Drosophila melanogaster: one gene and its partner. The protein of the gene in region 2 purifies or fractionates together with the protein of the main gene of each other region. This does not show direct contact. Each region holds a gene or a part of one and is shown on either strand. Other genes may lie near its edges.

The links.
Region 1: the proteins of hkb (region 2) and ftz-f1 purify together in Drosophila melanogaster (affinity purification with western blotting, with the first as the bait; one study listed by BioGRID). This does not show direct contact.

Annotation. Positions count from the first base shown.
Region 1 is NT_037436.4:18,799,241-18,802,996, forward strand, and holds the start of ftz-f1 (ftz transcription factor 1), read right to left. Parts: upstream 2,070-3,756; 5' UTR 868-2,069; intron 1-867. Other genes in the region: CG14073 (uncharacterized protein), read right to left, coding at 3,542-3,756. UniProt on the Drosophila melanogaster protein: Acts as a cofactor to fushi tarazu (ftz). Facilitates the binding of ftz to DNA. Binds the sequence element 5'-YCYYGGYCR-3' in the zebra element of ftz. Probably functions as a nuclear receptor for a yet unknown ligand.
Region 2 is NT_033777.3:4,344,742-4,348,497, forward strand, and holds hkb (huckebein), read right to left. Parts: upstream 1,906-3,756; 5' UTR 1,763-1,905; coding exon 1,108-1,762; intron 1,043-1,107; coding exon 804-1,042; 3' UTR 274-803; downstream 1-273.

The DNA of each region.
Region 1 (3,756 bases), on a different chromosome or scaffold from region 2:
TAGAGCTTAGGAGTGCCTAAACTATTTTTATCAGTATCAATGCAATTTCACCAATAAACCGATGTTTAAAAATTAAATTTCAAAATAGACGTCGAGAATCTTTAATTTAAAAATTGAAAAATAAAGTTTTTTTAAAAATGCAATTGTTTTACAAGATTACAAAAATTAATAAAAAAAAAAAAAGTTAATGCATTAAAAGCATCTTTAACCAAATTATTTTTTCCGAGTAGATAAAATCCATTTAAAAATTAACACGCTAAATTGTTTATTCCCCCATTTACAGTAATTTTCCAGTTCGCGAAACAGACAACTGGAAAGATTCCCCCATTTTTTTAAGCCCTGTGTTACCCTTTTTAACGATACTTTAATTAACTTCACTCGACTTCAAGTTCTTCACTTTTCGTGCTTGAATCTCACCAACCCTCGGGTAATCCACGGAAAAAAATTGAGCAAATGACATTAACTTTATATTTAATATTTTAAAAGAAAAATATCTTAGTGGAAAATACGAGAAAATGTATAAAAAAAAACTATAAAAAGCTATAAACTGCTGATACAATTTTCAGTTTATTATCCAAATTTTTAAAACCACATTAATTTTTGTAAAAAATATATATATAATGATCCCAGTAAAATTTATTTAAACAAACAAAAAGGTGATTTTATTTAAAAAGTTTTCTTATAATGATGGTTTTTAAATCAAATTCGTGTCAAAACTGTATTTCATTCCGTGCTCCTACTTCCCATTAAAGATGGTAAGTGCAGTAAAATAAAGCTCACCCAACTAGACAAAATGGAAAAGGAGGTTTTTGGGGGGTAAAAGGTGAGCGAGAGGAAGTCGTGCAGCGGGGAGAATTGAGAATTTACCTTTCATGCAGCTGACGTCGTTGTTTTTCCTTTTGTAGTTCTGTGTGTTGCGCATGCGCCCGGTTCCATGAATTCCAAGACGAAGATCGCGGAAGAAGAAGAAGCGCTGGAAGCTGTCCGTCTCTCTCTTTCTCCGTCTCTTCCCCTCTCGCTTTTTATGTATACAAAAACCAGTTGGAAGCGAAAGCAAAAGTTCTATTATTATGTCTTGGTCTTCTTGCTGTTTCTGTTTTTGTAGCCGTAGCTGGTCTCCCTCTCTCTCGCTGTCTCTGTCTCGCTCTCAGTGTGGGAATTCGCATGTGTGGAGAACGGAACGCGAATTTATAATTCGCAAAACAAAGCTTGTGTGTGATTCATTTCGCCGATCGTAGTCGCTGTTGCCGTTGTTGTTGTTGTTGCTATTTCTCCCGATCGCATCTCTCGGCGTCTCGTTCTCTTTTGCTCTCGCTCTCCGAAAGCTCTTTCAGCATATTTCAGAACACGCACACACACGCGACGCCAAACGCATTTGGCAATTTATTTATATTTTTTTTTATTTATTTCTTTTATTTATTTTGCATTTATTGCCATTTACTCTTCCTCTATTCTCGGCGATTTCCTCTTCCCGATTTCGAACGCACACCAAGAACTTCTTGCACAATCGTCGCACGCGCGCAACAAGCGAAAGCTCTCAGAAACAACAACTATAAATTGCAATTCCTGCTACGCACACACTGACACGCTCGCACCGCACATACATATATACACACATGTACTGGGGTTCCACTGGGCACTCTGTGTTGTTGTTTTTCCGCTTGGCTTTTGCTAATTTTGCCTTGTTTTTGCTTCTGCTCCAATTCTATGACACAACGCTATCTTCCCACTTTGTGTTAATTTTTATACACAATTGCACACCAAAATTGGGGTTTGGTAAACGGATAGGCAATGACGGGGGCGCGGGCGACGATTGGAAACCAGAACACACTCCCGTTATGGACGCATCGGAAATATTAAATATATACGTATGTACACACACATAATTAACGCCAGAGCTGTTCTTCTTTTCGCTTTTGTTTACTTTCACTCTTACTTTCTTGGCTATCGCTCACTTTCAGCTATTGTTTATTCGCTGGCTTCACTTTTTCGGGAAAAACTATTCCGCACGCAAAAATTAGGTCTCGAGCGAAATTAGGTCGAACTCGAACGGGAACACAACACACAGTAAAAGTTTGTTGGCGTAGGTAGAAGAAGACCGAAAGCCCTCGCGCATACACGCACACACACATGCGCGGTCGGGATAGTGTTGGATCACCGGAGCGAAGAGCGGGGCCAAGGACAGAGAGGCAGCATTCTTGGCCTTTAAAAATCGTTTGAAGAACAAGGACGGCAATCATATGAAAACCGGAAAGCTTTCAGCTGAAAGCACTCACATGCACGCACACCCGCGTTTAGCGCACCGCTCGTGCGGCGAGCTTTTGAGAGCGACATCTGCCGGAACCTATCGCCAAGTTATCGATAGATCGTAAATTCAAAACTGTGGCGGTTTGTCAATGAAATATTACATAAATTTTAATAAGCAATAAAAAATACAATGAGATTATCTAGTTCAAATAATTGCAAATTTAAAAGGAAAAGAAGAAGACGAATTTAAATATTCACAAGATATAATTATACTTTTTCAAAAGAATGGGCCCTCTAAGTATATTTAAGTACTTATCTAAGACCTTACCTGTTCAGTCATCTATTATTATATATAAATAACCTTTTAAACCAATTTTGAAGAATCGTTTAATAAAAGCTTGGATCGATATTTGTTTTCAAATGCCAGGAGATTGTTAAAATTTTGAAGTGAAACCGCACTTTTAAATTGTCAAAATTTCACTTTGCATTTATTTTGTTTTTCATTATTAGTTTTTTTTTTTTTGTTAAATTTCTTCAGTTTTTTGTGGTTTCCTTTTATAGTTGCACAAAACTTACACACGTACATTACATAGAAAATTACAAACCTATCTGAAAATTGATTTACATTGTAGTTGGATCATATTGTGTATACATATACTTTATATATTATGTTAATAATTTCATTTAAAAATACATAATACATAAATACGCCTTTGTTGCTTCTTTAATATTATTACAATAATTATTATTTAGTTTATACTTTAGCTAGATTGTTTTGTTTTTTTAAAAACCATAGATTACACTTCATCCCTAGATTTATCTGTAAGTATATATCAATTTATTAGCTGATTGGCTGGCATACATTTTCCGTTCGTTTCCTCGTTTCTAACTGCCTTGCATTGTTTTCTTCTACTTTTATTGCATAATTGCAGCCAATCCCTAAAGATTCCAGATTTTCTCAATATTCTCGCTCTAAAATTTCCATTCATTTCCTTTTTCTTCGTTTTGAGTGTGTATAGCACCTTTGTATCACTTTGCATTAGCTCTAAATTTAATTTCCTTTATAAAATCCTTTATCTTCCAAAGACAAAGACGTGTGAGTAAAAACTAGTTACTAGCTAAAATATACATATGTATAGTATATAAATCTACTATTATATTCGTACTAATAGTTTTTCCATATTTGTTTGCACTTTACACTCTATGTTCAGTTAGTACTATGCTCATCCATTCATCATTATCTAATTTATATCTTTCTGGATCTTGCCCCGTCCAATCGCTAAAGATATCTCGGTTAAAATTTCATTAAAATGGTCTTAACGCCCAACAAGTTCCGTACACTGTCGTTGTATTTGATGAGCACAACCTTCGACGAACTGAACATGTTCAGCTTTTCACCGGCGCACAACAGCTGCAGGCAGGTGGCTTTCTCCAGGAAATCATCTATCTTGAACTCCCGTAGCAGGTGCTTCTGACTGCTGGCCAAGGCATTGCTGTTGTTCGGACAGA
Region 2 (3,756 bases):
GACTTGTGCCTTTTAATCCTTTTATGACAGTTCAAATGCGATTTTCCGATTTGCCTTTGATATTGGCGGCATGACGAGCGGTTTGTCGCACGATCTGGTTAACGGGAAGTGACAGTGGATCATTAACATGTAAAGGTAATGGTTCTTGGTTTTTAGCTCCTCGTATACTCGTAATGGAACTATGCATTTAATCATTGGGGAACAAAATTGCAAGTTCTATGTACATTTCTCCTCATTTCTAACACCGCCCAGGTAATAAAGGTCTTTCTTGTACGGTTTTTCTTGTGTATTTTGTGTTGTAAACATAAATCGTATAATTCAACTCTCAGATATAACCATGATCGTATAATTTTGTGTATAAATCGTATGTATCTGGTAACCACGATCAGCTTATAAAACTGTTAAAGTATCAGCTTTAGTATAACTTAGACGTAAATCCGGGCATCTCTTAAATTTCTTAATCGCTTAGCATATGAGGAAGGATCACTTAGGGATTATTTACACATGTGCCGAATATCATAACCAGTCACGTAGCTGGAAGTGTAAATACGCGTTAAAAAATAAATATCTCAATATTTGCATATATCGTCGAGGTCCAAAGATTGGGTTTGGTGAGTGCGCCACATTGCGCCAGGTACGGCTGAGGTAGTTCTGTCCACGATTGGCTAGGCAGTTTTTGCTGGCGTTAAGTTTCGTTTCGTTGGATTCGGTTCGGTAATGCTTGTTTAAAGCGTGCAAGCGCTTTACAGATCGCTGGAATGCAGGGTCGCGTGGCAAGGGGAAAGCTCGCCAGGATTTCCCTCTCAGTAGCCATAAAGGTATGAGTACATGGGCACGAAGATGGACGGGCCCAGCTGGCGCTCCTGCGGCATGTGCGTCTTCATGTGCTTCTTTAAGTGGTCGCGTCGGCCAAACTTCTTTCCGCAGGCACTGCAAGGATACGGCCGCAGTCCGGTGTGGATTCGCTTGTGACGCGTCAGTTCCTCATTGCGGGTGAAGGTCTTGCCGCATGTGTTCACGTCGCACTTAAATGGGCGTTCGCCTGCAGAACAGAATGGAGATAAGTGAGTGGGACTCTCGGGGTCAGATGTGTTCTGGTCGACTTACCGGTGTGGATGCGGATGTGGCCCTTCAGCTGGCCGTTGTTGGAGAAGGCCACGTCGCAGTTGGGGCACTTGAACTTCTTCGGCCGCTGCTTGCGGCTGTTGAGCGCCTTTAACTGTGCGTCCTCGGCCATCACGCGGGCGTACTCTTGCTCCATCAGGCCCATAGTGAACGGGTCCATGCCGAAGCCCGGGACGGCAGTGGGCGTGGAGGCAGCAGCGGCTGCTGCGGCGGCGGCAGCGTAGTAGAGATCGCTGGCGGCCGACAGGAATGGAGCGTGCTGGTTTGGCGGAGCCAAGGATGCGGTGGCGGCGGCGTGCGTGTCCAACGGCGACGACTGCGGGTGTGAAAAGACGGGGTGCGGGGCGGCGTCCAGCAGCGGGGTGGAAGTGCGGGTGTAGCTGCTGTGGTTCAGGGCCTCCTCGTAGCAGGACTTGCTGCTGTTGCTGCTGCTTGACGCAGAGGAGGATGCGGAGGAGAAGTCTCCGTCGCAGTCGTGGCCGAAACTGCTGCTGGCCAGCTCCGTCTTGATGGTAATCGCCTCCGGCTCCTGCTTCACTGTCCTGGGTGCCGCCGAGGTCGCCGCCTGGCGCTGAGTATCCCAGGGTCGGAAAAGTCGCGAGTAGGTTTGCGGGGGATGCAGGTTAATCGTCGACATTTTGCAGTAGTTTTAATGGAAGGTCTAAATTGCTCTCTCGCGACACTAAATCACTTGGATGGAACACTTGTGATTATGATTTTGGACTTGATTTGGTTGTGCGGAGCTGTGTGTGTGCTGCGAGATCTCGACTCGAACTGAGCTCTCCTGCCCCGACGCCTCTCAATTTAAACCCAGGACTCTGGCTACCTACACTTCGTATACCCAGGCAGTCATTCGTCCTGCGTTCACACACACGCGCACACACATACACACTCACCCGCACACGCACACGCACACTGAGGGTCGCTTCATTCATCGATTATTTGTCTGTCTGAGGATGTGCGAGCGAGAGGGATGCTTCGGGGTGGGTTTCGCTTTCAGAAACGGGCACGGATTCGGTTCGGTTCGGTTTCGAGGGCACAACAATGGCGGCCCGCTCGCACACACACTCGCAGCTGAAGTATATAAGGCGCTGGTGTGTGCGTGTAGTCCTGCGTAGTTTTCCCGGTCCGGAAAATCGAACTCCCGACCGAGTGGCGGGCAGCTTTCCTAACTTGCGCTTTCTACTCTTTCCACTCCGTACTACATATACTGGGCCCAGGCGATCCCAGCAGCGCGGTGCCTCCGATTTGGGCGCAACTTTAGCAGAGCATTTGCGTTTCACGGTTATGTTATGAATTGTACTCACACCCACCCACCGACCATGATTCCCGGGTGGTTGGCTTTGGGCTTGGCTTGGCCCACTCTCCCAATCCCAATCCCACTCCCAATCTTATACCCATTCCCAGTCACAGTTTCCTCCTCCTTCCCTCCGTCCAGACACAGATACTTCTCCAAATGTATAATTCGGTTATCTGCGGTTCGGGTTTCCTGTGCCCGATGTGGCAGCAATTTATTATTAAATTAAGTGCTTGTTCGAGGGTGGCTCCGCGACATCACGAATATGCAAAGTGCGGGCCAAGCAGCTGGGCAGGATTTGCAGAGATTGCCAGGCTTGAGCGTGTTGTTCAGTTGGTACAGTTCGCCTAAACTTTATCTTTATCTCTGGGGGTGCTTGAGAAAAACTTTACTGGCTCGTGGAGGCGTTTGCCCTAACGCGATTCTGGCTGCAGACTACGAGAACAGATACAACATACTTTGGCTGAATGTGCGTTGCTACACCTAATGTTTTAATTTAGAAGGCGATATTGGCTTTAAGAGTTCGTGTTTAAGTTCACAAGTTTTTCGCATGCATTGGTAGCCGCTACAAATTGCTGTTGCGTTTACTTTCCACTCCAATTTTCTGTATGAATTTGAGTTTAAAGGGAAAATGGTACTTAATATTAATACATACCCTCTAAGGATTCCCACGATAGGATTAGTAGTGTTCTGAGTTCAATCTTATTTTCTAGTCAACAAGCATTGGAAGTAAGCCTTCTCTAAATTATGAATATATGCCTCCTATTTTTGCAGCCAAATGTATTATATACCTCTATATTCTTCGACAGATACCTGAAATAATTTCGAAATCAAATTCTAATTCTAATCAAGAGACGACGGATACAGCATATAATCATAAAAATGTTTGCTGCTAGAATTAAAAGAAAGATTTGCGGAATTGAACGAAATATTTTCGTTTTGTTGTTTTTTAAAAGAGTATAAAACTGCTGTCATCGGACCAAAGCGATAATAACTTCCTAAAAGATATCTGCTTTCTAGGGAAGGTGCATTCCGCAGGCCTAGCGCCTTATGCCCCTGTCCTGCCATTTAGAACAAAAGGGAAATCATTGGGATTACGTCCAACTGCATTGTTCGACCAATGCTAATGAGTGCAGCGGCATGGCTGGGTTGTTGTGGGTTTGTTAGTACCTATGTATATGTAGAACCGTCCATAAAACGCGGTCCGCGGAGAACATTTCATTCACGACTGAGCTCATTTAGTAAATTCATTCATAAACTGGGATTGCCGTGAGCAGGGACGATCCTGTGATCTGGATAGATCCCTTGGTGGTCGGGTGGCAGGTAGATAGCCG